7 linked regions of the Xenopus tropicalis genome follow. The protein of the gene in region 2 interacts with the protein of the main gene of each other region in a pairwise test. Links are inferred from orthologs where the notes say so. Each region holds a gene or a part of one and is shown on either strand. Other genes may lie near its edges.

Evidence for each region.
Region 1: the proteins of card9 (region 2) and tceanc interact in binary tests that used the Homo sapiens proteins (3 or more experiments, as listed by UniProt). The two-hybrid records come from large-scale screens. The link is inferred for Xenopus tropicalis from reciprocal best matches to the Homo sapiens genes CARD9 and TCEANC.
Region 3: the proteins of card9 (region 2) and meox2 interact in binary tests that used the Homo sapiens proteins (3 or more experiments, as listed by UniProt). The two-hybrid records come from large-scale screens. The link is inferred for Xenopus tropicalis from reciprocal best matches to the Homo sapiens genes CARD9 and MEOX2.
Region 4: the proteins of card9 (region 2) and kiaa0408 interact in a two-hybrid assay, tested with the Homo sapiens proteins (2 studies listed by BioGRID and IntAct). The two-hybrid records come from large-scale screens. The link is inferred for Xenopus tropicalis from reciprocal best matches to the Homo sapiens genes CARD9 and KIAA0408.
Region 5: the proteins of card9 (region 2) and dual specificity protein phosphatase 13 interact in binary tests that used the Homo sapiens proteins (3 or more experiments, as listed by UniProt). The two-hybrid records come from large-scale screens. The link is inferred for Xenopus tropicalis from reciprocal best matches to the Homo sapiens genes CARD9 and DUSP13B.
Region 6: the proteins of card9 (region 2) and cdca7l interact in binary tests that used the Homo sapiens proteins (3 or more experiments, as listed by UniProt). The link is inferred for Xenopus tropicalis from reciprocal best matches to the Homo sapiens genes CARD9 and CDCA7L.
Region 7: the proteins of card9 (region 2) and tfip11 interact in binary tests that used the Homo sapiens proteins (3 or more experiments, as listed by UniProt). The two-hybrid records come from large-scale screens. The link is inferred for Xenopus tropicalis from reciprocal best matches to the Homo sapiens genes CARD9 and TFIP11.

What each region holds. Positions count from the first base shown.
Region 1 is NC_030678.2:105,786,862-105,789,689, forward strand, and holds the end of tceanc (transcription elongation factor A N-terminal and central domain-containing protein), read right to left. Parts: intron 2,481-2,828; 5' UTR 2,479-2,480; coding exon 1,429-2,478; 3' UTR 938-1,428; downstream 1-937.
Region 2 is NC_030684.2:6,411,716-6,416,478, forward strand, and holds the start of card9 (caspase recruitment domain-containing protein 9), read right to left. Parts: upstream 3,080-4,763; 5' UTR 2,902-3,079; intron 2,710-2,901; exon of another isoform or gene 2,526-2,709; intron 1,628-2,525; 5' UTR 1,394-1,627; intron 1-1,393. UniProt on the Homo sapiens protein: Adapter protein that plays a key role in innate immune response against fungi by forming signaling complexes downstream of C-type lectin receptors.
Region 3 is NC_030682.2:36,890,538-36,895,269, forward strand, and holds the start of meox2 (homeobox protein MOX-2), read right to left. Parts: upstream 3,352-4,732; 5' UTR 3,202-3,351; coding exon 2,697-3,201; intron 1-2,696. UniProt on the Homo sapiens protein: Mesodermal transcription factor that plays a key role in somitogenesis and somitogenesis and limb muscle differentiation. Required during limb development for normal appendicular muscle formation and for the normal regulation of myogenic genes.
Region 4 is NC_030681.2:67,958,309-67,962,074, forward strand, and holds part of kiaa0408 (uncharacterized protein KIAA0408 homolog), read right to left. Parts: intron 984-3,766; coding exon 1-983.
Region 5 is NC_030683.2:55,074,720-55,078,873, forward strand, and holds part of dual specificity protein phosphatase 13, read left to right. Parts: intron 1-2,114; 5' UTR 2,115-2,115; coding exon 2,116-2,240; intron 2,241-4,154. UniProt on the Homo sapiens protein: Dual specificity phosphatase that dephosphorylates MAPK8/JNK and MAPK14/p38, but not MAPK1/ERK2, in vitro. Exhibits intrinsic phosphatase activity towards both phospho-seryl/threonyl and -tyrosyl residues, with similar specific activities in vitro.
Region 6 is NC_030682.2:39,660,178-39,665,105, reverse strand, and holds the start of cdca7l (cell division cycle-associated 7-like protein), read left to right. Parts: upstream 1-1,896; 5' UTR 1,897-2,002; coding exon 2,003-2,026; intron 2,027-4,928. UniProt on the Homo sapiens protein: Plays a role in transcriptional regulation as a repressor that inhibits monoamine oxidase A (MAOA) activity and gene expression by binding to the promoter.
Region 7 is NC_030680.2:15,107,237-15,112,182, forward strand, and holds the start of tfip11 (tuftelin-interacting protein 11), read left to right. Parts: upstream 1-1,968; 5' UTR 1,969-2,080; intron 2,081-2,254; exon of another isoform or gene 2,255-2,552; intron 2,553-3,418; 5' UTR 3,419-3,423; coding exon 3,424-3,623; intron 3,624-3,741; coding exon 3,742-3,892; intron 3,893-4,444; coding exon 4,445-4,601; intron 4,602-4,946. UniProt on the Homo sapiens protein: Involved in pre-mRNA splicing, specifically in spliceosome disassembly during late-stage splicing events. Intron turnover seems to proceed through reactions in two lariat-intron associated complexes termed Intron Large (IL) and Intron Small (IS).

The sequences.
Region 1 (2,828 bases), on a different chromosome or scaffold from region 2:
AAATAAAGCATCTAAACTGCCACTCAAAATTTCCCACTTGTGCTTACATTTTGTGTAAATATGTCTGAGCAGGCAGAAGATGGTGCTTGTGTATGTTTATGAAGGTTAACATGTAATAACACTTTTGAACAGAATATACTGTGCAGGGAGGTAGCAGGAAGGGAGGACAATTAAAAGGGGCTGGGGTTTAGTAAGGCATAACTTCATTATATAAATCCAACTATGCAGGTTCACTTTGGTCATAGTAGTGAGTGAGTTGAAGCTCAATTTACTGTCCGTGTTCCTTTTACATTTCTTATTAAAAAATTTAAAAATTACACTTACTCAGAGTGATTTTATAAGAACTTCTGCAGTTTAATATCTTACATCATGCAGTTTTAAATAGATTAGCAGTTTTATACTGCTAATACCGGTCTATTAACTCAGTCTATTAACAGTTTACTTATTCCTTAGGCTGGACATATACAGGTAAGACAGCATGTTGGCCTTTAAAACAGCAGTGGTCTGCAAAATTCAGGGAAATCTAAATGCATCACAAGAGGGCAGCCGTGCAGAGCAAATAGGCACCCACAGCCTAATGTGATCACTGGGCTGCAGGATTTTCAGCCAAAGCTAACAGATATCTGAACAAATAAACATTTACTTTAGTGTGTGATTTTTGCTCAATTGTTTTTGTCTACTGTGGCAAATGTATCTCTTTATGTCTTTTTATACCTTCTACTTTTCATAGTAATATTGCCAATTTATATTAACAGTGTATATTGTTTATTTAAATTAAAATTAAATATTCCTTTTACAGCACAGTACTGCCCAAAAGGTAGGTTGTAACCCAGCAGATTTTGAGTTGCTGACCAGCAGATTACTGGATAACTGTTCTAGTTACATCTAGTTACAAATGATTCAGATATTAATTATGAGGCCTGGGAAATGGGTGGTGTTTTTTTAAATATTAATATATGCTTTGTCTTGTAATGCAATGACCCAAAGACCCTATCTCAATCGACTTTTACTAAATACAGAATCCCATATCAGTAATGTCTGGGCACCATAGATATAATAATAATACTCCATTTCTACATTTATTATACATGTCTGAGGGGGCTGCCACAGTACCCTACGGAATTCTCAGTGAATGAAATATTGATCACAAATAGATATTTGTTGTGACAGTTTTGTTAAAAAAATGCTTTGCCAAGGATAGACTGTTTTAACTCTTATTCTTATGGTATTCAAAGAGGCACTGTTGTATATTAATAAATTAGACACTTTTAAGGTTATACTCTGAAATAAGTGTAGACATAACAGTTTTAAAGTAAGTTTTAAAATAATCTTAGTTCTTGTTCACTAAAATAAATAATTTATGTCCTGATCATTTACCTATTGTTAGAAAAAAAAAAGCCAAACACAGTTCAAGTCCAATGTGCAAACTCATAGGCAGACCCATCTATTGTGGTACCATTGTTCACCACATTCATTACATATTACAAATGTCATCATCTCCTCATCAGGGTTTCCTGTTCGTACCCAACCTGGAAGAAAAAGTGTCCCCCTAGATATCATTGTTACTGTACAGTTAAACTTATCACACCTCCGACATCTGATCTTATTGGTGTGAACACCATCAACTCCTTGTGGTAGCTGATGCTCCTGAACACAGGTTTCAGTGTAGTTTGCTCTAAGATTCCTTAATTCATCGCAGGCCATTTCCATAACACCCATCTCAGCAAATACCTTAGGACTTAAAGCTCTGGATAAAATCTGCATCTTTAAATGGGAATTTTTAGGATTTTTCAAATTGGAAATTTTGCTTCTGATGCAGTTTCTGTATTTCTTGGTATTACCAGCATGTATTTTATAGATGTTCTCTTCAATTGCCTTTGCTAAATTCTGCAGTTTCTCTTGGCATTCCGAGTCTTCTCTCAATGCTTGGTATAAGAGCTCTGTGCATTTGGTTCTCAGAGCCAAATCTTCAGCGTTTACTTTCTTAGGAACTTCATGGTCTGTAACAGATTCCTCATGGTTACCATAACAATCTTGTGCGCTTGAATCGGATTTGTTTAGATTGAATTTGTAAGAAGATGGGCTACTTGTGCTTTTATTAATCAATATTTTTTGTTCACTGTTGTGAACTTGATCTTGGATATCGACAGCTAGTTTCTCAGGACCTTCTTTGTTTTCACATATTTTACTACAATGCTCACAAATGCAGCTAGTTTCATGGCAACACTTTCTATATAGTTTTTTCCATTTGGACAATAAAACTTTTGCCTTTAATTTCAATGCTCCTCTTGGACAGGTCTTAAGAACTCTGTAAACAACTCTGACAATATCAGTACCCTGCAGAATTCCTGATGTGACTTCTGCTTTTTCAAAGTAAGTAAGGTGGAATGCAAGGTCTTCATATTTTCTCTCAGCCAGAAGATTTTCCACTTCTAACGCTCTGGAAACAAGCTCCTTATTAATGTCTTTGTGTAGCATTTCTACAGTTGGGAAAAAAGAAGGCAACATAAAAAATCTCTTTCTAGCTGAAGTGTTTAAATATTGGTCTTTTAAGTTTCTCAGTTCTTTCTCAGTAAGTTTTTCTTTTATGAACTGACCTTACATATCTGAACTTTTAAATGCAATTCATTTAGGCTGCCCAATAAAATAGGGCCCTAAAGCTATAAGGCTTTAAAGAAACTAATATTACTCAGCTACTAAGAAGAGTGGAGAAGCTATTTCTTTCACCAACTATATACTTTCTTTTAAAGGAGAAGGAAAGGCAAAGTCACTTGGGGGTGCCAAAATGTTAGGCATCCCCAAGTGACTTAAATCGCTTACATTGTACC
Region 2 (4,763 bases):
ATTATATCCTGTACATGGTTCCAGCTACAAAATTCAATTCCGTACATGGTCCAGCTGCAAAATTCAATTCTGTACATGGTTCCAGCTACAAAATTCAATTCTGTGCATGGTTCCAGCTACAAAATTATATCCTTTACATGGTTCCAGCTACAAAATTCAATTCTGTACAGGGTCCAGCTACAAAATTCAATTCTGTACATGGTCCAGCTACAATATTCAATTCTGTATATGGTTCCATCTACAAAATAATATCCTGTACATGTTTCCAGCTACAAAATTCAATTCTGTACATGGTTCCATCTACAAACTTCAATCCTGTACATGGTTCCATCTACAAAATTCAATTCTGTACATGGTTCCAGGAACAAAATTCAATTCTGTACATGGTCCAGCTACAATATTCAATTCTGTACATGGTTCCAGCTACAAAATTCAATTCTGTACATGGTCCAGCTACAAAATTCAATTCTGTACATGGTCCAGCTACAAAATTCAATTCTGTACAGGGTCCAGCTACAAAATTCAATTCTGTACATGGTCCAGCTACAAAATTCAATTCTGTACGTGGTCCAGCTACAAAATTCAATTCTGTACATGGTCCAGCTACAAAATTCAATTCTGTACATGGTTCCAGCTACAAAATTCAATTCTGTACATGGTTCCAGCTACAAAATTCAATTCTGTACATGGTCCAGCTACAATATTCAATTCTGTATATGGTTCCATCTGCAAAATAATATCCTGTACATGTTTCCAGCTACAAAATTCAATCCTGTACATGGTTCCATCTACAAAATTCAATTCTGTACATGGTCCAGCTACAAAATTCAATTCTGTACGTGGTCCAGCTACAAAATTCAATTCTGTACATGGTCCAGCTACAAAATTCAATTCTGTACATGGTTCCAGCTACAAAATTCAATTCTGTACATGGTTCCAGCTACAAAATTCAATTCTGTACATGGTTCCAGCTACAATATTCAATTCTGTACATGGTCCAGCTACAAAATTCAATTCTGTACATGTTCCAGCTACAAAATTCAATTCTGTACATGGTCCAGCTCCAAAATGATATCCTGTACATGGTTTCAGCTACAAAATTATATCCTGTACATGGTTCCAGCTACAAAATTCAATTCTGTACATGGTCCAGCTACAAAATTCAATTCTGTACATGGTTCTGTACACAATTCTGCCTCCCTGCAGACTGGACCAGTGCTATAGAATGGGTTAGATAGGGTAAGTGCTAAATACACACAGAGCATAAGTTTCTAAATAGCCGCAGTAGTTACACTGAATTAAAGGCAAAGTTATATATATTTCGATAAGAAAGAGAGATCAGATTAACTCTCTGGGGCCTGGGAGAGGGGGTTACAATAAAGGGTAAGCTCACCTCTTCTAGAACAGTTGGTCCGTCTGGGAGCTTTCAGCCAAGCGTCTTACTCCGTCCCATGTCAGAGAGCAGGAATGGCAAGGAGAGAAGGAGAGGTGTAGAGCACGGGGGTTTGGGAGGGGCGAAGGCGGCTGTGTAGAAATGACTTCCTGGTCTGCACACAGTCGCATACCACAGTGCAGCTTCACAGTCTGCAGAGATCACTTCCCATTACTGGCTGCACGGCTGCTGCTGCTGGGGAGTCACATGGAGAGGCAGTGAGGTTAGGAACGTTAATGACCAATGAGCCACCGGGCAATAAACAGTGCAATATTCTAGTGATGCAGAGAGTGCTATTCTGAGAAAACTTGCAATTGGTCTTCGTTTTTTGTTATTTGTAGTTTCTTAGTTATTTCACTTTGCTCAGCAGCTCTCCAGTTTGGAGTTTCAGCAGCTATTTGGTTGCTAGGGTCCAAGTTATGTTAGCAACCAGGGAGTGGTTTGGATGAGAGATTGGTATATGAATAGGAGAGGGACTGAATAGAAAGATAAGGAATAAAAAGTAACAATAACAATAAAACTGGAGCCTCACAGAGCAATAGGTTTTGGCTGCCGGGGTCAGTGACCCTGTTGCTGGGGCTCCAATTACCTTAGCAACCAGGGTGTGGTTTGAATGAGAGACTGGTATATGAATAGGGGAGGGGCTGAATAGAAAGATAAGGAATAAAAAGTAACAATAACAATAAAACTGGAGCCTCACAGAGCAATTGTTTCCGGCTGCCGGGGTCAGTGACCCCCAAAGAGTTGGTAGAAGAAGGCAAATATTTAAACTATAGGAAATAAATAATGAAGACCAGTTGAAAAGTTGCTTAGAAATGGCCATTCTATAACATACACAAATTACCTTGAAGGTAAACCGCCCCTTTACGAGCAGCATTTGCCCAGCTCCCCCCCCTTTCCCAGGTATGGCAAGTCACCCTATCAGAATTCGGAGGAGAGCAAATATGCCACACAGCCCACATTCCACCCTGATTGGCATTCAGCCTCGGCATCCGGACACATTACACCACTCACGTGGCTAAAGAAGGTGTACTTTCCCTTTAATTGTAATTATTCATTTAATTGTAAGTAACGAGGGCAATTAGCGACTTACCTTACCCACGGGGGAAGGACTTATTCATCAAGAACGCACGGCCGGGTGGGGCAATTAATAGAGACCGGCGGATGCCTACAGTGCTCACTAATTGGCTTAATTGCACCCATTAGAGGTCAGCTGACCTCGCACACACTCGGCCAACCTGCTCCCAAAATCAACCCACACGGATACAGCCCCCCCCAATGTTATTGGCTACTCCCCCTTACTATTTAGCTCCTCCCCCAGCGGCTACGGTTTCTATATGTGCATACAGGACCCTCCAATCAGGATCCTGAAGGTTTTACCTTCCCATAATTCCAAGAGGAAATGGGTTTGGCCTTTACACAGAACACCTGGATCTGCTAAACAAAGGTGGGGGGGGGTCGTCACCAACCTGTGGCAGATACCGGACCCGTTGGGACATGTCGGTTGCCTGAGATCGTCACTGGGAATTCCACGTGCTCGGAACTGATTGGCTCGTGGCTTCCGGTGGCTGCATGTGGCTCGGCCGTTCCGCTGGGATTGGGGAGTCGGCGTTGGAGGCCGGGAGAGAAGAGAGGGGGGGGTCGGAGGAGTCTTCCGAGAGTGAAAATTGGGATAAAAGTGGATTAAAGGGGAAGGGGGGGGCAAAAGGTATTTGCCTTGGGTGTCAGTTTCGATTGCCCCAGTTCTGCTGTCAGTGACTTATTTTGGGGGTGTATGGATGGACAGATGTGCCCCCCTGTCCCCTCACACAGGCCATTGGGCTATCTGGGCAACCATGTATATGGCCCAATCACACCCGCCATGTCTATCCATTCAAGCTTTCCTCTCTATGATTTTATCTCTCCCCTCCTCGCACTAAATGACTCCCCTGGGGCACCATCTCCAGTATGCGCCACTGTCTCACCCCTGGCACCCTATACCCACAGCGAGCTACTCCCAAACATGGCAAAGCTGGGCATCCCATCTGATCTCCATATGGGAAGTGTCGTTCCAAGATGGCTGTACATGGGGGAGAGGCAAGGTGCAGGCGGTACATGGGGGAGAGGCAAGGTGCAGGCGGTACATGGGGGAGAGGCAAGGTGCAGGCGGTACATGGGGGAGAGGCAAGGTGCAGGCGGTACATGGGGGAGAGGCAAGGTGCAGGCGGTACATGGGGGAGAGGCAAGGTGCAGGCGGTACATGGGGGAGAGGCAAGGTGCAGGCGGTACATGGGGGAGAGGCAGGGTGCAGGCGGTACATGGGGGAGAGGCAAGGTGCAGGCGGTACATGGGGGAGAGGCAAGGTGCAGGCGGTACATGGGGGAGAGGCAAGGTGCAGGCGGTACATGGGGGAGAGGCAAGGTGCAGGCGGTACATGGGGGAGAGGCAAGGTGCAGGCGGTACATGGGGGAGAGGCAAGGTGCAGGCGGTACATGGGGGAGAGGCAAGGTGCAGGCGGTACATGGGGGAGAGGCAAGGTGCAGGCGGTACATGGGGGAGAGGCAAGGTGCAGGCGGTACATGGGGGAGAGGCAAGGTGCAGGCGGTACATGGGGGAGAGGCAAGGTGCAGGCGGTACATGGGGGAGAGGCAAGGTGCAGGCGGTACATGGGGGAGAGGCAAGGTGCAGGCGGTACATGGGGGAGAGGCAAGGTGCAGGCGGTACATGGGGGAGAGGCAAGGTGCAGGCGGTACATGGGGGAGAGGCAAGGTGCAGGCGGTACATGGGGGAGAGGCAAGGTGCAGGCGGTACATGGGGGAGAGGCAAGGTGCAGGCGGTACATGGGGGAGAGGCAAGGTGCAGGCGGTACATGGGGGAGAGGCAAGGTGCAGGCGGTACATGGGGGAGAGGCAAGGTGCAGGCGGTACATGGGGGAGAGGCAAGGTGCAGGCGGTACATGGGGGAGAGGCAAGGTGCAGGCGGTACATGGGGGAGAGGCAAGGTGCAGGCGGTACATGGGGGAGAGGCAAGGTGCAGGCGGTACATGGGGGAGAGGCAAACACAGGCTATGCACCATACAAACCCTACACACAGACACACACTGGGCACCATACAAACCCTACCCACAGACACACACTGGGCACCATACAAACCCTACCCACAGACACACACTGGGCACCATACAAACCCTACCCACAGACACACACTGGGCACCATACAAACCCTACCCACAGACACACACTGGGCACCATACAAACCCTACCCACAGACACACACTGGGCACCATACAAACCCTACACACAATCATAAATGACCCCTGCAGCCCATATGGAAGTCATATTTACTAAGCCAG
Region 3 (4,732 bases), on a different chromosome or scaffold from region 2:
TAAAAAATATCTGTTGTTTTTTTTAAAAAAATGAAATAGCACAGGGGACTGTTAGAATTGTGATCACTGGAAATCCTAATTGGATAACAGAAACCATTACAGATGAAAAATGCATATCAATGTTTATATAGCATATTGCACACCGCTTTTTTAAAATATTGTGAAGGGCAAAGTACTAATTTCCTTATTGGTCCCAGAGGAAAGCCCTTTGATTGTAGCTTGTAATGTTAGACCACTAACCTAATTGTACATGATTCTGCAGACAGAATGCACAACAGTCAGAAGTGCGCACATGGCTGAAAGGGTATGATAAGGATTATTCTAATTGCACTTTCTCTAGGTGCTATTCTGGTGGTCTGCTGAAGGGTATCACTAGCCAAAGTAGGCTTAATTATAAGTACCAGCTTTCTAACATCGCTTGTGAAATTCTCATCAAATCCCCCCCCCCCCCACCCCACAAAAGGTAACTTGAGTGATAGACGAGGCTTAAAAGATACAGGAAAATAGTGTTACAGGACTGACATCCAACCTGGGGCCCTCCTGCTCTTGATAAACTACAGCATTCTCGTCACAGCCTAAGGCTAAAGGCTGATGATTGCAGTTCAGCAACCCCTAGACGCCCATAGTTTAGATTTTTCTATGTCGAAATATGCACATATAATGGATAGGACACGGTCCGGGCCATTAACTTTGACTCTAGATTGTATAATTTGGATAGGTATACTGTTTCACAAAGCCATCCTTTCATTTCTCCAGAAACCAAATGCCCTTAAAACAATTGTTTGTGAAGTGACTCTAAAAGAAAGAACAGCAGTTTCTCAAATTCGCCAGGACCCAGTTATTGGATACACCGTGGTTAATGAAGCTAGTTTGTCATTTTTGCTCTGTGATTAGGTATAGATTTCCTGGTAATTTATTTTCTTTAAACGCTTGCCAATGTTATCTTCCCTAAACAGACAAAACAGAAGGGGGGGGAGAGGTTTAAAAGCATTGCAAGCCTAGACAGACTAATTAAACACTGGAATAATAACTTTTGAAAAGTTGTCTTGTTTAAAGCCCCAAGCCTGGAAGAAAAAATAAGGTCAAACATATGTCACGAATTACTCATTTGTCATTCATGTCTTATAATTATTGAATAACCATTCATCCCAATCAGAATATCTCATAAGACTTAATTAGGAATGGTAAGCAGGTCATCTCCAATTATGACTTCGCTTTCACTTATTCCACTGACCACTTGTCTGATTAGTGAGTTAATATAGTTGCACTTATCTCTCGCCATCATCTAATAGCAGGATAAAGCTACTCCACTTTATATATATAAATATATATATGATAAGCATCGAAATCACCAATGAACTGGAACATATAATACATATTTCAGTTATGTTTATATTCAGTGTGATATACTATGTTCATTTCTTATGCTACTGATATGCAAGTATCACGTATATTGTATTTCTTTTACTAGAATTTGCCATTTTAAATGGAAATGGAAAAGAGGATTTTAGTGTTCATGTCTGTTTGGGGTATTTCAGGTATGACGGAAGGTGTCTGTTATGAATCATTTGACTTTTTCAGTTCTAGATATTGATTGGTAGTTATTCATATCACTATTGATATGCAGCGGATTAAAAATGTATATATTATTATGGTCTGCCAGAGATTCTGATCAGTGAAAGTGATGTAATAGGCTCAAAAGAACTGATTTCACTGAAGTGGCTTATGTGACTGAATTAAAGCAAATATTACCCATCACTTTGCACTTTGTTAATTAAACTCTTAATTTGATGCAGACTGTGTATATGGCTTTCCCAGAGGAGGTGTTAGCTGATAATATAATTAACACCTTTCTGCAGTTGCTGGGACGGGCAAAAAAGGCTGCCCTCCCTGGGATGAAATCTCTCTATTTTATTCCTGCAGGAAGGGGGAATGGGCAGTCTAAATGTGCCAATTGTCTTTTTATCTGCCATAAAATTGCATTTGTAATAGTTTGGCTGCTGAGAGAAACAGGAGTCAACAAGTGATCTCCATTTCTTGTTATAATACTGCAGTGATACTGGATCAGGCTGAATAAGGATGGAGTGCAGCACGGGTTTCTGAAGGATTGTGTCAATAAATAGATTGTAATTTCAAATGAAAAAATGATACTTGGATTCAATCTTGCTTATTAAAGGAATTTGATATTCTTTTGACACTGACAGGATTGTTACATAGGAATACACCAGGAAAGACTTGAAAAGAGGGAACTATTTCTGCCCGTTCGTATTGTAATGTAATATACAAGTATTTCCTGTTTAAATAGAAACTTTTTACTTATAATATGTCTTGCATAGCGTTTATAACATTCCTATAGTGTTAGCAAGCTGCACATGTCTGAAATATTGTATACATGCTAGTTAGCAAGTGTCTAACTAGTACTTTTTACACTGCTAAATGCATTTGCCAGTGAGTACGAACACAAAGCTTTGAGCAACAGAAAAACCCCTCTCTGCTCAATTTGAACTGTCAGAAGAAGCTGCCGTATGCATGGATGCTAATGGCATATCCTAGGCATACAGTTGCTTAGGTTTGCACCACTGCTGTGCCACTTTCTGCAATGCAGTGCTAATCCAATACAAGGCATCACAATTACCAGCTAATATATATTTCCTTTTTGCTGCATGCTCAGACATTGTAAACACAAATATCCTTACCTGAACTGTCACTTTTTCTTTTGCCAGTCCTCTTTTCTGCTTCTGCCGGGGAGAGGGTCTGTCTGCCATAGTCCCCTGTCACACAAGCTGCACCCGTTGAGCTGTTAGTGCCCAGGCTGGATGTGTTTGAACACAAAATAGAGGGGCTGCCACTTAGATCTGGAGGTCCAGATTCCTGCTGAAGGCAAAGGCTATGTCTGGTGGAGGCAGGAGGAGATGACATCTGAGGAATGTGCCAATTTGATTGCAAGGTCTGGTGCTGTTGTTGCTGGTGATGATGATGATGGTGATGATGGTGATGATGTCCTCTGTGATGCTGGCTCCCAAACATGCCCTCCTCATTGGGATAGCCAGTTAATATGCAAGAGGACGAAGAAGAGGATAAATCAGGATAGGACATGTGGTCGGATCTTCCATGGAGGGCAAGAGAAGACTGGGCAAAGGGGTGTAAGCCCTGAGAGGTGGCATGGGGGCTGCGCAGGCAGCCAAACAGTGTGTGTTCCATGGCATACAAGTTTCAAGTTGCAGGCTTGAGATTCTGGCAGGATTAAACTCCACAACGCTGTCACTTTTCACTGTAAAATGATATTTTTCCCAAACAGTAACGGCACACTTTCAGTACAGATCAGATAATCCAGGTCTTCAGCCTGGTGGCCAGTCTCCTGTGCTTAAACAGTTTGCTCTGACCAAGATGAGCTTTTGCAGAGCTGCTCAGATGTCAAGAGTAGGAGAGGTTAAAGCCAACAGAAGGTGGTCCCAAGGAGCTGCTTTAATGGGGGAACAGCTAAGAGAGGATATAAATAGTGTGTAATGTGAGCTGGGGGCTGGCTTAGCAACACAGTACTGACCACAAACTCTCTCCAAAACTTTAGCACTCACAGATCCTTCCAAGTTGCGACAGCATCACTGCACTGTCTATGTACAACTTAAACCGGTTCTGCCCATTGCTAATATGGATATAGAGAAACTGCACGCAGGTCTTAGTAATTCATATACTGACACAATGACAAAAAGCTCATTCTACCGTAAGAAATCAATTGGAAAGTATTGTGCCATGCCAAGCAATACATGCCATTTTATTTCTTTTTTAGTGTTCTGTGTAGTGAATGTGATACAATATAAATAGCTTTAACTAAGGCACCATTAACCTACTGTTACTGAATCTATAACTCCCAGAATCCCCTGCCAGCTGCACTAGGTTATAACTTTTTACCAACATAGGACATATATGTGCAGTTTTATACAGCGGGAAGTAAGCAGTATACATTGTTCTCTTTTGGCGAGAGTAACGCAGAACCTGAGTAATGTTCTCCTCAAATTGTTTTCAGAAATAGGAAGATGTAACATCCTCTTAGTAAATAGGAAACATGTGTGTTTTCCCAACTAAAAGTCACACCTGTGTTTTTCAGATGTTTGTCCCTAAAATCTGCTCCAGGTACTGCTTACTGCACAGTAACACAATATTGTTCTATTCATCAGCATAAATACTCATTAACCCCTTCACCTATGGCACAGAAGCCTAGTTTGTTGTACCAGCATAGAATCTTTTATCTAAAATGCTTGGGATTTGAGGTTTTCCAGATAAGGGATCTTTCTGTAATTTGAATCTCCACACCTCAAGCCTGCTAAAAATCATTTAAATGTCAAATAAATCCAAAAGGATTGTTTTGCTTCCAATATGGATTCACACAGCTTAGGTACCATCAAGTACAAGGCACTGTTTGATTATTACAGAGAATGAATAAATCACTTTTAAAAATTAGAATTATTTGCTTAAAGTGCAGTCTATGAGAGGTGGCCTTCTCATCATTCAGAGCATTCTGTATAATGGGTTTCTGGATAAGAGATCCCATTTAAGCAATTCACTGTCTGTAAAAGACTATACAATCCACCTGTATAGTAAGTATACCAATTTATGTAGTGTAGTGTTTTATTTTATATTAATTTTAGCAATTTTATAATGAGTTTTAAACCCTGTAATCCAATTGCTCAGTTACCTTGTGCGTTGCCAAAAAGTTATAATGTAAGTTGCTATA
Region 4 (3,766 bases), on a different chromosome or scaffold from region 2:
TTTCATAGCTCTTCAAAAGCTTTTCCACAACACCATAGTTGGACCTAGAGTCTGCAGATCGTGGTCTCCCTGACAAATTGCTTGGTGTCCAGTTGTGCTCTTGTAGCATGTTTTGGTAGCTACTTCGGCTGTGAGATCCATGTGCTTGCAACTTTTGGACTGTAGAAGTTTCACTCTGTATTGCACTGTTTTCATAGAATTGCACAGTTATTTCAGCCTCATTATCTGGTTTAATATTGGTCCGAGCAGTGCTCAAACTGTGATCCAGCGAGTGAATGCAAGACTCCTGCTTTGCAGGCTGGTACATGTCATGTAATGACTCATGGAAAACTTTGCTTCCCTTTTCTGTCTTAAAAACAATTCTATTAAATTCATCAATCTTTGCTGCTAGCTTTCCATTCGTCATTGCCATTTCAGGTCTGAGTTCAGATGCATTAGGATAGTGCTCTGACATTATTTCATCAGAACAGAAGTTGTTAGAGCATGGCAACCTAGAAACTGAAGTGGTGGAATTCCATGCATCATTTTTAAAAACTAAACTGTCATAATCTGCAATGTTGCCCAGGAAAGGTTTTACTGGGTTTGATTTTTCAAGTGTTCCAATGTCATATAAACAACTTACATGGCACAGTCCATTGTCATTGTTTCTCACAGCATCAGTGTGGTTAGTCGCCACATGATAATGATCATTGTTTACATTCGAGCACGTAGAAGGACCAACCTTATATGTATCAAACGACAAGAAACTTGCAATGTTGCTTGAGAAATATGAAGGTGGAAATGATGGCTCCTGCGAAATCAAGATTGTGCTACCTATTTCTGACTGCTGACTGAGAGAATTACACATCACAGGGCTGTTGACATAATTCTCATTGGACCTTTCATTACTTTTTGACATTTTTGAAGAAGACAGGTTCTTATCTGTTTTGGCCACTTTAGCTTCTGCATCATAGTTCCCACAAGCAGCTGAACTGGCACCCATCCTATTGAAAGGAAAATGAAACAGAAGAAAATACATTTGATAGTGAATCTATAGTAATAGGATAAAGTCACTGTTCTTTAATACTCTTTTTAGTCTTTGTGTTGCTCATAAGCTAGGACCATGTTCACCTATTATCTCACCTATCTTTAGCTCACCTATTATCTAGTCTTAAAACAAAGGGGCTGATTTACTAACCCACGAATCCAACCCGAATTGGAAAAGTTCCGACTTGAAAACGAACATTTTGCGACTTTTTCGTATGTTTTGCGATTTTTTTGGATTCTGTACGAATTTTTCGGATCCAATACGATTTTTGCGTAAAAACGCGAGTTTTTCGTATCCATTACGAAAGTTGCGTAAAAAGTTGCGCATTTTGCGTAGCGTTAAAACTTACGCGAAAAGTTGCGCATTTTTCGCGTAAGTTTTAACGCTACGCAAAATGCGCAACTTTTTACGCAACTTTCGTAATGGATAGGAAAACTCGCGTTTTTACGCAAAAATCGTATTGGATCCGAAAAATTCGTAAAGAATCCGAAAAAATCGCAAAACATACGAAAAAATCGCAAAGTACCGATCATTACGAAAAAAACGCAATCGGACTCCATTCGACCCGTTCGTGGGTAAGTAAATCAGCCCCAAAGTCTTCTGATAAATTTATATAAAGATACTTCACAGTCTGACTTCAGTTGTCTTTATGCTTATTTTCTAAAAACACTGCATGCATATCAGTGAGTGTAACCAGAAACTATTTAAGGGAGCAGCATGGTGGCTTAGTGAGTACCAGTTCTGCCTTGTAGCACTGGCGTCCTGAGTTTGATACCGGCTTGGGGACTATCTGCAAGAAATGTGTATGTTTGTCTATGTTAGCATGGTTTCCTACCACATTTAAAAAAAAATACAGGCAGCTTAAAAAAACTTGACCCTAGTGTGTGCAAATATGACTTTAGATTGTAAGCTCCACGGGGGCTTAAAATTATATATAAGGCTAAACCTGCCTGATGCAATGGCTCCGAGTGCAGGCACAAGGAAAGTCTGATGCTAATGTAGGGGCTGATTCTCAGCCTGCATTAATCTGTAGGCCAAGAATCAGCCTGTTTAGATTTTAGTAATTATATAAAGGGGACCTGCCACTCAGACATAAAGAAGCTGTATACTGAGAGCCCCTTCCAAATTAAAAATAAAACCCAATATCTATTTTTCATATCCATAAAATCCATACCTGTTATAAGCTATAAAAATCTCAACTGTCATATATTGCCTGCCCTGCCTTTAGGCATAGCATTCACTTTCACTTTTATTTCTACACTTGCCAGATGTCACTGCTCTCCTCACATTCCCTCTTTCTACTTGCTGTGCATAATTTTTAGCCTGTGAATGGGGATGTGCCTAAGGTACCTCATTCTAGTGCATACATTACATATTGGGATCATACAAAGTTTGCGTTGATAACAGTTTTCACAAAATGTTGCCTGCCTGTATGCTCAAACTGTGCATGTTCCAAAATAATGAAAGAGACCAGATTTAAATAATATATGTATAATAAGAAATGTTTATTTTGCTCAACTAACACTATAAAAAAGATTTGAAAATATTTCTTAGGGTGGTTGGTCCCCTTTTAGAATAGGCTGCATTGGACTTTAGCTTGTTCTGCTTCCTGTTCAAAATACTTCTATTATTAATGCCGATATTATATGCATTCAGTAGGACAGGAGCTGTGTACGGTGATGCTGTTTGTCATCAGCTGATGGTAGAAAGCTAATTAGTGTGGTTCCCCTGTATGTAACTGGCATTTAATCCAAATACAAAGCCAGCATTTATAAATCTAGCCTACAGCACAGCCATGCTTTGTCTATGCTTGTTTGCAGCTGAAAGAAGCAAGAAAGGAAAATAAGAGAACAAAGTTGACCTTATTTACTCTGCGAAACATATTTATGGGTAGATATTGATCATTTTTTTAAAAGATGTTTTCGCTTGAATTTAGCTATGAGAGAAACATAACCATTAACATGTTTTTCTAAATACAGTACAAAGGCTCCTTTTCTAAATGCTGACCGCAAATCAGGCCAAGCAATCTCTTTCTTAATGTAAAAATTAAGGATAAGAAAATATTTGGCAGCATGTTCAGCCTCTAGGGAAAACTGAGACTGATGATTTATGTCATGTGATCATCTCTTGAACATCTTGGAATCCTGTCATTTAGGTGATAATAATGTTCTGTTTTGTATTGGCAATATCTGTATAAAAATAAAAACAGGATAACATCTGGCCATGAAGTTCTGTTGCCTACTCAGTATTACTTTATGCTATATAGGAACTTATGGGTTTATTTCTCAATTTTCGAGTTTGTGAACTGAACTCGTGTTTAAAAAAAAAAATTGAATGCTTGCTTAGTTATAAATAAACCAAGATTTCAGACTTTTGGTTCCAAGCCCATAATGCAGTCCATCTTTTACTCATGCCCGCCCTTAATAATAACATAAATAACATTTACTATATTGCCATAATAAGTAATCTTAATGTAATTCCAGGAGTATCAATGCAATTCAGCCATTTACCCTAAGTCATATATAAATATATTTCCCTCATCATTCTGTGCCTTTCTATCAAACCCCTAGAAGTAGCAGCCCCACTTTTAGGAATATATAATATATAATTATGCTCCCTTTACTTCTGTTACTTAAGAAAGATAATAATAGTAGGTTCATAATTAGTGGTTGTCAAGACTTGAAGCAAAAATACCTCTATAAACAATTCACCATTTTGCCTCCAAATATATCGAGACAC
Region 5 (4,154 bases), on a different chromosome or scaffold from region 2:
AGTGAATCAGTTGTACTGGCACAGTGTCGGACTGGGATAGCAGGGGCCCACTCTACAAACTATTTTTCATACACTTCTTAATGTGTCTATATACAGTCCGACACTGTACTAGCAGACACATTAGATAGCTTCAAGATGGGGTTGGATGGATTCTTAGCAAGCAAGAAAATACAGGCTTATTGGAAATAGCGCTTAGTACAAGTTGATCCAGGGACTGGTCAGATTGCCATTTTAAAATCAAAAAGGATTTTTTCCCCTCTAAAGCAAAGAGAGGCTTCAGAAGGTTTTTTTGCTTTCCACTGGATCAACTAGCAGTTAGGCAGTTTTTATATAGACATAAAAGGTTAAACTTGAAAGACGTGTGTCTTTTTTTTAAAATGACACACAATGTTACTATGTAGTAGAAAAGCTTCTAATGGGAATAATAAAGCATGATATACTTGAATATCGTGCACAAAACAATACTTTGTCTTCATCGTTTTATGTACAATAGATCTTGCCAGACAAGTTTAATTGCCTTCTATGGGGATGCAAGCTGAAATTACTGCTTATTCAACATCTGCCCAGAGGAAAGTCCTGGACTTCATTATTTAAGTATGATGACTATTCTGATGAGAGTTGACAGATTTTCCAAAATGATTCCTTTTATTCCTTTGAAACTGCTTCCTTCTGCTCTTGAACAGGCTTACAGTACAATATTCTTCCACACATCTCTTACCCTGGCTCAAGTTAAAGAATCCATAGAGGCACAATGATGTGGTCATCATAGAATAAGGCCAGGCCATGGCCCTAAAATGCTTTAAAGTGATTCTTGCAGAATACAAAAGCTGTTAGGTTTAAAGCTCAAATTTAGGGATTCCCATATCACAATTCATCAGAGAACAATTACGTGGCTGGAACAGAAGATGATGAGGCTCCTTTGACAGTCATGGACTGTTGTAATGTCATGTAAGGCAATCCAAATCCATTTTTTTTGGGGGGGGGCGGGGTCAAAATCAGAAAATGAATGAACAGGACAGGAACCAGAATAAAGGAGTAACATTCAGAACCAGGAAAAAACAAACGTGATCTACAATTAACATTGAATGAGTTCAGAGCTGGGTATCATATAGGGTAGCTGATGGCAAACTCAGAGATCCTGTTGCAGTTAGTAACAGCTGAGCAACTCAAGGATGACATAGCACTGAACCAGAGAACCAACCATATCAGGGTCTAACTAGATGTTACTGGGCCCCACAGCAAGTTCAGTTTAGGGCCACAAAACATTGTAAAATGAACTAATTCTGCCACAATATATTGCCCTGTAAATAGGACCTTACTGGGCACCCTACCCTCTTGGGCCCCCTGCAAAGGCATGGTCTGCTTCCTTTGTAGCTATGCCCTTGACCCATATATAGAGAAGGGGTATTACAGACTCCATAGTTAACTGCTGTATTAAATGAGTTCAAAATGAGTTCAACAGAATCTGTCCTTATGCTAGTTTGCCTGGCTACTAGACAGAAAGAAAGACTTGGTTCTCACCGAGTTACCACTTCAGAAGTAATTTCCCCAAGCCAAATAGACAATGGTGTCTTCTCACCTTCTCATATTCTCTCTGGACAGTCCCTCTCTCCAACTGTGGGACCTCCTCGTTTTGGACGGGGATTGTTTTTACCACAGTACAGAACATTATTTTCTTTTCAATTTAAAGTATCATAGAACCAACCAACCACTACCCCTTTTCCCTCTAAATAAAGGAATAAATCATAGCCAAACACCTTTTTATTCTCTATTTTAAGGTCATCATGATATTATTGATAACTTTTGCTTGAAGTATCTATTTCAGAGTTTCAAATATTATTAAGGCACTTTTTTGGTATACTTAAAGCTTAAACTTAAACAAAACTGAAACACAAAACTGAAATCAATAACTTTAAATATAATGTAACCACCCACACAACTTAATGTAAAATTGTTCAGAGTGCTCTGCTGAGCAATTTTTCCTTTTATTTTCACATTTAAATATTATTAAACAATTATATGTTATATAATTATATATGAATGTTATATATGTTAAAGTTAAGCAAGACTACATCCATTAGCAAATTTAAATTGTTTTTTTTTTTTTATTTCAGAATGGCAGTCCATCAATCCCACTATGAACCATTACCTGTTTCTGACCTTCAGCGCGTTCTTTGGTGCCACAGAGGATCCACTGGTCATGTCAATCAAGTGTGGCCAAGACTCTACCTCGGAGATGCGTAAGATGACAGGGAGTAATAAGATTTGACACATTTTAAAGGCAAATAAACATTTTAAAGTGAGCGAGCTAGCTTTCCATTTAATTGTTTCATAGGTTAAACTGTGAAGGGTGCTACCATAGGCAAGCCAAGGCAGTGGTTTAAGGGCTACAGACTGAGGGTTAGTTTTTGGAATAACTAACATTTACTATTCTAAAACACTTATGAAACTGGTTGTCTGCTGTACTTACACAGTGGTGTTTTGCTTAATTTCTAATTCTTCCCTTATGAAAATGGTATTTTGCTTATTTCTTAATTTTTCCCTTATCAAAAAAAAAACTTCTTTATTAATTTAAAAATTGTACTTTTACCTGTCCAACTTTCCCCAAAGATTCAAAAGCCCAGCCCCACCCAAAATCCAGCATATTTTTGTCCTTCTGATTCTTTTTTTCATCACTTTGGAAGCAAATTTTCTTTTTAGTTTTGTGAAAACATTAGGCGTTCCAATATGGTGTCCTAGGGACTAGGGCCTTGGTCCTTGGAAATCTTTAATCCACTCAAGCATATTACATCATTTGTATGAAGTCCTTAGTGCTTCACATTCTGAATCGGGTAGAGCTGGTAGGGATGGCAAGGTTCCCATCTGCCCCGTTTAAGAAACTTTTCCTCGGAAAAACTGCCCTGGGAAATGTCTCTGGTATTTGAATCTAGCACTGGTGACACTGGCGATCTGTAAGAATAAGCTATTTTGGTCTGTAGGCATTCATTTCTTAAATTACAATTCAAAGCAGAGCTTTGGCATTGAAGAATCTGAAAGAGGCTGATTTTGGACCCTGCACAGATTCTTTAGCCCCAACATTGAACATAGTATTGAGAAGCGCAAACCTACAGACTGAGGTAGAGTAGAGCTACTCAGAAAATTGGTAAGAGGGAGTGAGTACAGGATTGCAGCTTTGCAATCTGAAGGCATGTCTGTAAAATAGGGAGGAAGGTTTGTCAGGGGTGGGAACAAAAATGGGCCTGGCTTAATATTTTTGCAGCAGCACACAACTATTTTTGAAGGCTCTGAAAATCTGGTAACCTTACATTGTGGTGCTATGGCTAATATTACTTGGTTGTTTTAGATCCATGTGTACTCCCCAGCCAGCTTACAGTATATCAGGTGGCAAATTCTGGTTCCCCCACTCATGTTCCTTACCAGCCAGGCAGTGCTGTATGTGCCCCCTACACCCCTGTGATGTTTATTGTTTTGAGAGTGAGGTGGCAGTTAGTTAAGGTGCTCATTGAGGTACAGGGGAACCATTTATGGTTTTTGAAGTATCAGGGGTGGATTGCTGTCAGCCTGGTGGTGTGGGGTGAGCAAACAGCTCTATGGCCACAAGATAATTAGTTAGGGTCTGCAGTTTATGGCCTTCTTTTCTTTTTCCCAAATATTGGGGCATACTTTTTTTTTCTTTGAATGGAAGAATTTAGGGTTCAAAGCCACTTGCCATCCTCCAAAGTCTGTCTTGCTGTTGATGTAAAAGGTAAAAAAAATTACCATTAATTTGCTAGCTCAAAAGTAGAGAAGGCTGTTTTAAGATTACCTTTAAATTGTTAAAGTGCAATGTGCAAAATTTATTTTTGGATGTAAGTTGCCATGTTTTTTTAACCAGAATGCAACACGCCCCTCCCAGAATTCCAGCAGAATTGTGATCCCTAATCGGCAGTTTGAGATGTAGTGAAATTCAGGTTACATAGGGACAACTACCAGCAAAGAAAGTTAAGTTGACCTGTAGAGATAGATACCTGCTAGTTGTCTAAATCTCCTCCATTAGAAGCCTCTTAGGCAAGGTATGACCTAGGATATCTATCTCCCAGGCAATCTGTGCTGCTCTTTCTAATCCGTCCTAACTATCTTACACCTTTGAGGATTACTATGGCATAAGCTTTATT
Region 6 (4,928 bases), on a different chromosome or scaffold from region 2:
TTGTTGCAAAGTACGAAAAAGTCATGCAAATTCATGAAAATATTGCAGAAAACAGCAAAACACGCATAAAAACGTATTCGGACCTGTCGTGCTTTAATGAATGTGCCCCTATGTGTTGGGCATCTGTGCCAGCCAAAGGCAAACACAGCCTGGGAAGATCTGTGCCCCCAGTAGCTCCCCATCTTATTTTCTGCTGATTCACTGCACATGTTCTGTGCTGCCGTCACTTACTGAGCTTAGGAACCAACTTTCAATATATATTGTATATAAATGTAACAAAATTAGGCTAATTGGTAATTTAGACAGATTATTACTACATGGCAGCTCAGAAAACAGAGCATTTAGCATCAGAATTTAACAATCATCTCTGTAGCATCAGCTTATTTGACAGACAAACCTCATTTTCTGCTTGATAATTTGTGACGACACTTTAGCTGAGCTTCTCAACAGATACTTAGAGCACACTAAGCACAGACTGTCGCACTTTCCAAGATGGGGAGCTCCGGAGCTCAGGGTTGGACTGGGCCGCCGGGACACCAGGAAAAATCCCAGTGAGCCACGGCGGCCCAGACCCGACCCTTGCCGGCACTCCCCCTACCCGACCGCTCCTCCCCTAATGTGTTAAATTTTTACGCGCTTGGGGAAGGACGTTGGATGGGGGGCCCTGCGAGGGGGGTTGGGGCGAAGCTATACATTGTCTAATTTCTTTTAGGTTCTGTGCAATAAAAAATATCTTGTGTGCACATTTTTAGAAACAAATACTTGAGTGAGTGGGTCAGAAAAGTAATTTGTGTTTTCACTCAGATTTGTGCACCAAAATTTAGCCCTGGGAACACTATTGGGGAGTTCCTAAAGGCCCCAGAATGGAACAACTTGTTTAGGCCAATGACCCCCCCCTTTTTTTGTAACGTTTGTTTTTATTGATTTTTTACATGTTTCATTATCACATTTGTTTTCAAATTTTACATGCGTAACATTTTGTATATTAGGCACATTATCAGGCTTAATGTCCTTGTGATTGTTCAGAGTTATAGTATACAACAAAAAAGGAGAGGTGGGAAGGAGGAGGAAGGAGGAGGAAGGGTGAGGAAGGGGGAAAAGGGTGAGGGGGGGGGAAAGAGGAACAGTATAACAATTTACGCCCTAGGTCTCCATATTAAGTTAAACATTGTTAATAGGTTCAGTGTTTCCTTCACTTATTTATTGTTTTTAGATTGTTTACGGGAGTCCTACCCATAGCCTTGTGTTTGAGAGAGGGTCTTTATTTAGTATCCAGGTATCCCATATCTTTAGGTATAGCTGTTAATTTTCCAGTTGGTATTTAAGAGCTTTGATGGCGTGTATATATTCTGTTTTGTCCAGGACTTTCTTGATAGATAGCGAGTTCGCTTTCCATTGGGCTGCAATATGAATCCTAGTTGCCATGCATATATGTTGTGTGAGGTGTTGTGCGGGGTTGTTAAGGTTTAAAGTTTGTGTCTTAAGAGCATAATACTTTGTGGCATGGGGGAATGGTGTTAGGGTCACTGGGGAGTGCCCAAGAATCTGGCAGCCCCCAGTATTTTAAGATTCTTTCTCCATTGAGAACAAGGGACGGTTCAAAGGAAAAATGTACAAACCAGAGACTATAGCCGAAAATAAAGAAGAGGTGACAGCTCTGCCCAACAAATCAATGGGATAAACGATAACAAATACAATTGTGCACTAACACCGATTTACTCGTAGTTATAGTTAGTATTATAAAATTCATTCCTTTATACAGACTAGCACGTCTCTAAACTGATAATTATTAAGTTGCTTCTTTACAGAGAATAAGAAATTTGCCAAGAGTTGGCCAGGCAGGAGGCGGGGCTACATTGCGCTCCCTGTTGCTATAGGCTGCCAGCTGTGGGAGTGCTTTGCTATTGGACGCTGCACCCTTCCTGCACACTCGGGATCCCAGAGGGGCGGCTGTGTGCGAGTTATAGCGGGGCCTCGTTGTTCCTTGTGAAGCTGAATAAGCATGGAGCCGGCAGCAGGAGTGAAGGTGAGGTGGCTGCGTACACCTGCTCCCCATTCTGTGTAGCTGAGCTGTGAGAGTGCGAGTTGGTCGCACGTTGTGTCACTGTCGCTGCGTTTCTGCCTTTCGCGCCACCTTCACACGCTCGCTGCCCATTCATCAGATGTTCGCGGTGCATTTCGGGATATGAGCAGAGCGGCGGCTCCGGGTTACACTCTGCGCCTTGTTTCTATACTGATATACAGTTATATAAAGTTATATACAGCTATATACAGTTGTTATATACAGCGCTGGGAGCGCATTACCGCCCTGCCGCCTGCGTTATACCGAGTGCACTGCGGCTGGCGGGGGCTTCTGGGAGTTGTGTGGTTTCATGTTGTGGATTTCGTCAAAGACCTGGAAAATACTAGAGATGCAACTAAAGTGTTAATCACCTACCTTATAAATGTATTCTTATTTTTAGGACAAAAACTACTCAGGGGAGGAGGGAATTCCGCTGGCAGAATGTTACTGGCCCCACTGCTTGGGCATTGCTGCCTGGGCCGCTCTTATAGGAGATATGGGGGGGGGGGGGGGTCCCTAAAACTTCCTCACATGGGAGCGCACACCCTGTGCCCACAAGCCTGGTTCGAAACATAAACATGAAATAAATACAATAAGAATGGCCCCCTTACCACTGACATTGATTCATGCAGTGTAGTTACCATCAAGTACAAGGTGCTGTTTTATTTCTAGAGAAAAGGGAATCATTTTTAAAATGCTTAAATTTGACTATGGGAGGAATCTGGAGCTTTCTGGGCAAACAATGGAGTGAAAGCGGCGGGGGCGTAGGCACTGGTGGTTCGGGGGGCGTAGGCACTGGTGGTTCGGGGGGCGTAGGCACTGGTGGTTAAGGGGCCGCATTAACGAGCCGATGTGGTTCTCGATCTGACAGAAGAATCAAATCTGTGTGATGGAGACGTGGCTGATCTCAGGCCAGATGTTGGTTGGTGCCCATACAGGGGCAGGTAGGTCCAAAGGACCGCTATAGGCAGCTGAAATGGGCCTGTGTATGGCCACCGTTACACACCAGGGCTGTTACAGGATGGACACGCAACCCTGCATTTTCTATTAGTTTGTACACCGTGGAATGCAAGAAAACAACAAAAACAAATTTGTGTTTCACCTACACTTTGTGCCCACGCACCAGTGAGTACAAACTAATAGCAAATTTTGCATTTCTTCCTGTTCCAGCGCAGGGGACTGCAGGTAAGAACACTTGTGTAAGAGCCGTAGGACTGTTCATATCCCTTGGCTGCAATTACTCTAGCCCCCTGATCCATTTTGCTTCTCTCTGAAGCAAGGACATATCCCATTTTCCTCCCCATGTGGGTTTACCCACCACTTCTAAAGCTGGCCATACACACACCGATAATATCATACGAAACCTCGTTTCGTACGATATTCGGTGCGTGTATGGCAAGTCGTTGAGTTGACCGATATGGCAGGAGGCTGCTGATATCAGACGATTCGCCGATCGGCCAGTTAAAAGATTTTGATCGGGCGCCATAGAAGACACCTGACCAAAATCTGCCGTCAGGGCTGAATCGGCAGAAGGAGGTAGAAATCCTATTGTTTCTACCTCCTTATCTGCCTGTTTCAGCCCTGAAGGTTAGTGGCGGATCTGACAATCTTTCAATTGTGGCCACCTTAATAATAAAATATTTTACCCATCAGAGGTGCGGGCTAACAGACTGACTCCGGGAAGAGGAAAACAGTATGCTTTTTTTTTTTTTCCCCAAAAAAGCCCCTTAGTTACACTGGAAGGCCACGTTGGGGCACAAGTATGCGCATAGTGAGTGAATGCCCCAGCTTGCTCATCATGTGCTTTTGGTTCATGTAGGATTGGTTGATGTTTTCCCCATTTAGAAAATTAAGCTGCCTGTCAATAATTTGTGGTAACCTCGGTTTTCTATATGTGAGCATAAAAATGGCCCTTTGTAAGGCACTGGGGCCATTACCATAGCAGTTGATTGCTATTTTATATACACTATTCTGCCTAGCTATGTAAACTGAATTACCTATGCCCCACCACCAACTAGTAACTGGGTTACCTATGCCCCACCACCAACTAGTAACTGGGTTACCTATGCCCCACCACCAACTAGTAACTGGGTTACCTATGCCCCACCACCAACTAGTAACTGGGTTACCTATGCCCCACCACCAACTAGTAACTGGGTTACCTATGCCCCACCACCAACTAGTAACTGGGTTACCTATGCCCCACCACCAACTAGTAACTGGGTTACCTATGCCCCACCACCAACTAGTAACTGAGTTACCTATGCCCCACCACCAGCTAGTAACTGAGTTACCAATGCCCCACCACCAGCTAGTAACTGAGTTACCAATGCCCCACCACCAGCTAGTAACTGAGTTACCAATGCCCCACCACCAGCTAGTAACTGAGTTACCAATGCCCCACCACCAGCTAGTAACTGAGTTACCAATGCCCCACCACCAGCTAGTAACTGAGTTACCAATGCCCCACCACCAGCTAGTAACTGGGTTACCTATGCCCCACCACCAACTAGTAACTGAGTTTAGCACTCTTCTTAGGGTGAAGAGCTACTAGTAGCAGCTACTTGTCACAGCTACTAAAAAAGACAATGCTGCTCATTTACTGATAACGGTCTCTACCTGTGTTTTAGCAGAGGCAATTCTCAGTATTGTCTGTGGCAGGGGAATTTCTTGTATTTAGTAGCCACTCACAAGTAGCTGCTGATAGTAGCACAGTGTGTTTTCACTCTTAAATTGGTTCCATCTTTTCCTGTGGAGCATGTGAGAAGGTTCTCATGCGGTACAGCACATAGACGTGCTTGACTTGTTATAAGAATACAAGTATTTGGTAGGAAACTGGTGAACATATTTTAAGATTTGGTACAGT
Region 7 (4,946 bases), on a different chromosome or scaffold from region 2:
ACAGATTTAAAGGGATTGTTCACCTTTGCGTTAACCTTAAGTATGATGTAGGGAGTGCTATTCTAAGACAAACTGCAATTTGTCTTCTTTTTTTATTATTTGTACTTTTTAAGTTGTTTTACTTTTTTCTGCAGCTCTCCGGTTTGGAGTTTCAGCAGGTATCTGGTTGCTAGGGTACACATTACCCTAGCAACCAGGGAATAGTTTAAATAAAAGACAGGAATATGAATAGCCTCGCAAAGGCTGTTGGGGTCAGTGACCCCCATTAGAAAGCTGGAAAAAGTCTGAAGAAAAAGGCAAATAATTAAAAAACTTTGAAAAATAAATAATGAAGACCAATAGGAAAAGCTGTTCTGTAACATACCGATAGTTAACAAAGGAAAACAACCAATTAAAGAAATTAATTCAATTGTTTCGCTATTAACAAACTACATTAAGTGATTCAGATCCCCACACACTGTGAGCCTGGCACTGCCCTTAGGGGCACAGATTCGCCACTCTGCGTGGGAAAACAATCCCTGCCCATCGCTTCTTTCCACTTGCTTGCATATTAAACTAGCCCCTAGTAACCAAGCCCCTAGTAACCAAGCCCCTAGCATTCCAATCCTGCCCATCTGATTATTACACAACCCCAAGCTTGCAGAACCCCACTTGCTTGCATATTAAACTAGCCCCTAGTAACCAAGCCCCTAGCCCCTAGTAACCAAGCCCCTAGCCCCTAGCATTCCAATCCTGCCCGTCTGATTATTACACAACCCCAAGCTTGCAGAACCCCACTTGCTTGCTTATTAAACTAGCCCCTAGTAACCAAGCCCCTAGCAACCAAGTCCCTAGCCCCTAGTAACCAACCCCCCTAGCCCCTAGTAACCAAACCCCCTAGCCCCTAGTAACCAAGCACCTAGCCCCTAGCATTCCAATCCTGCCCGTCTGATTATTACACAACCCCAAGCTTGCAGAACCCCACTTGCTTGCTTATTAAACTAGCCCCTAGTAACCAAGCCCCCAGTAACCAAGCCCCTAGTAACCAAGCCCCTAGTAACCAAACCCCCTAGCCCCTAGTAACCAAGCACCTAGCCCCTAGCATTCCAATCCTGCCCGTCTGATTATTACACAACCCCAAGCTTGCAGAACCCCACTTGCTTGCTTATTAAATTAGCCCCTAGTAACCAAGCCCCCAGTAACCAAGCCCCTAGTAACCAAACCCCCTAGCCCCTAGTAACCAAGCACCTAGCCCCTAGCATTCCAATCCTGCCCGTCTGATTATTACACAACCCCAAGCTTGCAGAACCCCACTTGCTTGCTTATTAAACTAGCCCCTAGTAACCAAGCCCCTAGTAACCAAGCCCCTAGTAACCAAGCCCCTAGCAACCAAGCCCCTAGTAACCAAGCCCCCTAGCCCCTAGTAACCAAGCCCCTAGCATTCCAATCCTGCCCGTCTGATTATTACACAACCCCAAGCTTGCAGAACCCCACTTGCTTGCTTATTTAACTAGCCCCTAGTAACCAAGCCCCTAGTAACCAAGCCCCTAGCCCCTAGTAACCAAGCACCTAGCCCCTAGCATTCCAATCCTGCCCGTCTGATTATTACACAACCCCAAGCTTACGGAACCCCACTTGCTTGCTTATTAAACTAGCCCCTAGTAACCAAGCCCCTAGCAACCAAGCCCCCAGTAACCAAGCCCCTAGCCCCTAGTAACCAAGCCCCTAGCCCCTAGTAACCAAGCCCCTAGCCCCTAGTAACCAAACCCCCTAGCCCCTAGTAACCAAGCACCTAGCATTCCAATCCTGCCCGTCTGATTATTACACAACCCCAAGCTTGCAGAACCCCACTTGCTTGCATATTAAACTAGCCCCTAGCAACCAAGCCCCTAGCAACCAAGCCCCTAGCAACCAAGCCCCTAGCCCGTAGCCCCTATTCCAATCCTGCCAGTCTGATTCTGACACAACCCCACGCTTGTAGAACCCTACTTCCGGTGTCGCGTCCCGTACGCGTCATTGTGTAGGCGTGACCGGAAGTGTGCCGCGTACATTACTGCAGCCTGTGGAACCCGGGGCTCAGGTACCTGGAACTGGAATATCGGTAACTATGACGCCTCATGGAAGCTTATTTTAGCATTTAGCCCCACTTGTTTGTGTTTGGTATAACTAAGCCGGGGCTGCTCAGTGAATACGGGGTGTCTGGTTCCCGCACAGGAGCGGAATGGCCATGTGTACCTGTCTGGTGTCAATGGCTGCGCTATTAGTTTCTTCCCCATAACTGTTTGAGGGGATTATGGGAGTTGTAGTTTAAATCCTGACCTGTGATTATTGTCCCTTACTAAATGCTGTTACATTGATTGCTGCATTGTATCTGGGTAATGCATCCAGTTCCATAGCATGCCATTTACTCACTCCATGCCCCATTCCTCTCCCATCACTCACTTCAGCATGGCCCTCTTTAACCCCTTATGGGTCACTGTAAGTAGTAGTACTTCTCTGGTTGGCTGTGGCTACTGAGCCATTCTGGCCAATCAGGAGGGGGAACGCAGCCGACTGGACATATACTGTTCAAGGTTATTTCTATCACTTGTCTTTTTTTTTTTTTACCTAAATCCAAGGAAAAGGACATGGAATGTTTTGGGGGGCCCCAAGGCACAACCCTGTATAGCCATAAAGGGGTTGGGCACCTTTGAGTTATCTTTTAGTTTGATGTAGAGAGTGATATTCTGAGACAATTTGCAATTGGTCTTCATTTTTTTATTTGTAGTGTTTTAGTTATTTTATTTTCAGTTCAGAAGTTCTCCAGTTTGGAGTTTCACCAGCTATTTGGTTGCTAGGGCCAAGTTACTTTAGCAGCCAGGGAGTGGTTTGGACAAGAGACTGGTATATGAATAGGAGAAGGCCTTAATAGAAAATTAAAGTTACAAAAAGTAACAATAAAACTGTAGCCTCACAGAGCGATAGATTTCTGGCTGCCAGGGTCACTGACCCCCATTTAAGGGCTCTGGCACACAGGGAGATTAGTCGCCCGCAACAAAACTCCCTGTTCGCGGGCGACTAATCTCCCCGAGTTGCCGCCAGTTGCCATCCCACCGGCGACAATGTAAGTCGCCGGTGGGATGGCACACGCAGCGGCGCGATTTCGGGAAATCACTGAAGTTGCCTCGCAAGGCTTTTTCGTCGATTTCCCGAAATCGTGCTGCCGCGTGTGCCATCCCACCGGTGACTCGGGGAGATTAGTCGCCCGCGAACAGGGAGTTTTGTCGCGGGCGACTAATCTCCCCGTGTGCCAGAGCCCTAAAAAGTTGGAAGGAGAAGGCAAATATTTAATAAACTATAACAAATAAATAATGCAGACCAATTGAAAAGTTGCTTAGAATTGGCCATTCTATAAAACACAACAACTTATATATTGTTAAATATTGTTTCCCTCTCTCAGGCACCATGTCTATGTCGCACCTTTATGGCAAAGATGAGGACAGCGATGGAGTGGAAATGGAGAACTTTGAGATCACGGACTGGGACCTACAGAATGAGTTTAACCCCAACCGCAGAAAGCATTTCCAAACAAAAGAGGAGGCGACCTATGGGATGTGGGCAGAGCGGGACTCTGATGATGAGAGGCCAAGCTTTGGGGGGAAAAGGTTGGTGGGTCTTTAGATTGGTAGGAGGGGTCACTCAATAGTAATAGTCACCTTCTTGCGTGCAGTTAATGATACAGCACCACCCAATACGGACACCTTTCATTTTATTTCTTCATAGGTCTCGAGACTACTCGGCCCCTGTCAATTTTATCAGCGCTGGGATCCGTAAGCCTGCTGCAGAAGAAAAATCTGATAGCGATTCCGACAGTGAAACGCAAGCAAGGAGGGAAACTTTCCCAAAGGATTTTGAGGCAAAGAAGCTAAGGACGGTAGGATGAGTCTAAGGAGTGTTTGTACTTCCCAATAGTAATAGTCTGACAGGGTTAAAAGGGGTGTTCTTCTTTAAACCAACTTTTGGTTGCTATTCTAAAACAATTTGCAGTTGGTCTTCTTTTTTTTTTTATTATTATTTAGCTTTATATTCAGCACTTTTCCAGTTTGGAATTCTAACAGTTATATGGTTGCTATGAACCAACATAACCTAGCAACCAGTCAGTGGTTCAAATGAGAGACTGGAATAATAGCAGGAGTGGGTCTGAATAGAAAGATAAGTTTAAAAAAAAAAAAAAAAAAGTAATAACAGCGTAATTGTAGCCTCACAGAGCAATAGTTTCTTGCTGCCGGGGTCAGTGACCCTCTTTAAAAAAAATGAGGACCAATTGAAAAGTTGCTACGAACTTGCTCTTCTATAACCTACTTAAAATTAACTTAAGGACGAACCATCCATTTATAAGAGAGAGAACTATTATTGTAAGAAAGACACACTATATTCATTGTTTCATTCCAAAGCTTCAGTCAGTTTCAGTTTGTGTATTTTACAGGGTGGTAATTTCAAACCATCACAGAGGACATTTGCTGGAGGAATAAAGTCAAACACAGATTTTGGTTCTTGGGAGCGGCATACCAAGGGAATCGGCCAGAAACTTCTTCAGAAGATGGGTTATGTGCAAGGAAGAGGCCTGGGAAAGAATGCTCAAGGTATAACTGGGTTCTTTGGCCAGTGAGGTTAAATTAGAAGCTCTACTGAGGCAGGGGCTATTCTCAGATGGAAACGTGCAATAGTAGCTTTTATTATAATCTGACTGTAAGTATGTGAGAAAAATGTATTTTATAGCCAGGATATTCTTTAAAGGATAAGAAAACTTCAAAATAAGTTGATGAACATTTGCAATTTACATTCATAATTATTTTTTTAATGCCAAGATATTAAGGGATAAAGTATTGTTAAAGAGTTACTGACACCAGAAATGAAACCTTTTTTACATCAATCATAACATTGTCTTTGCATGAGCTTTATAATTTTGCCATAAAAGTATTTGCTGA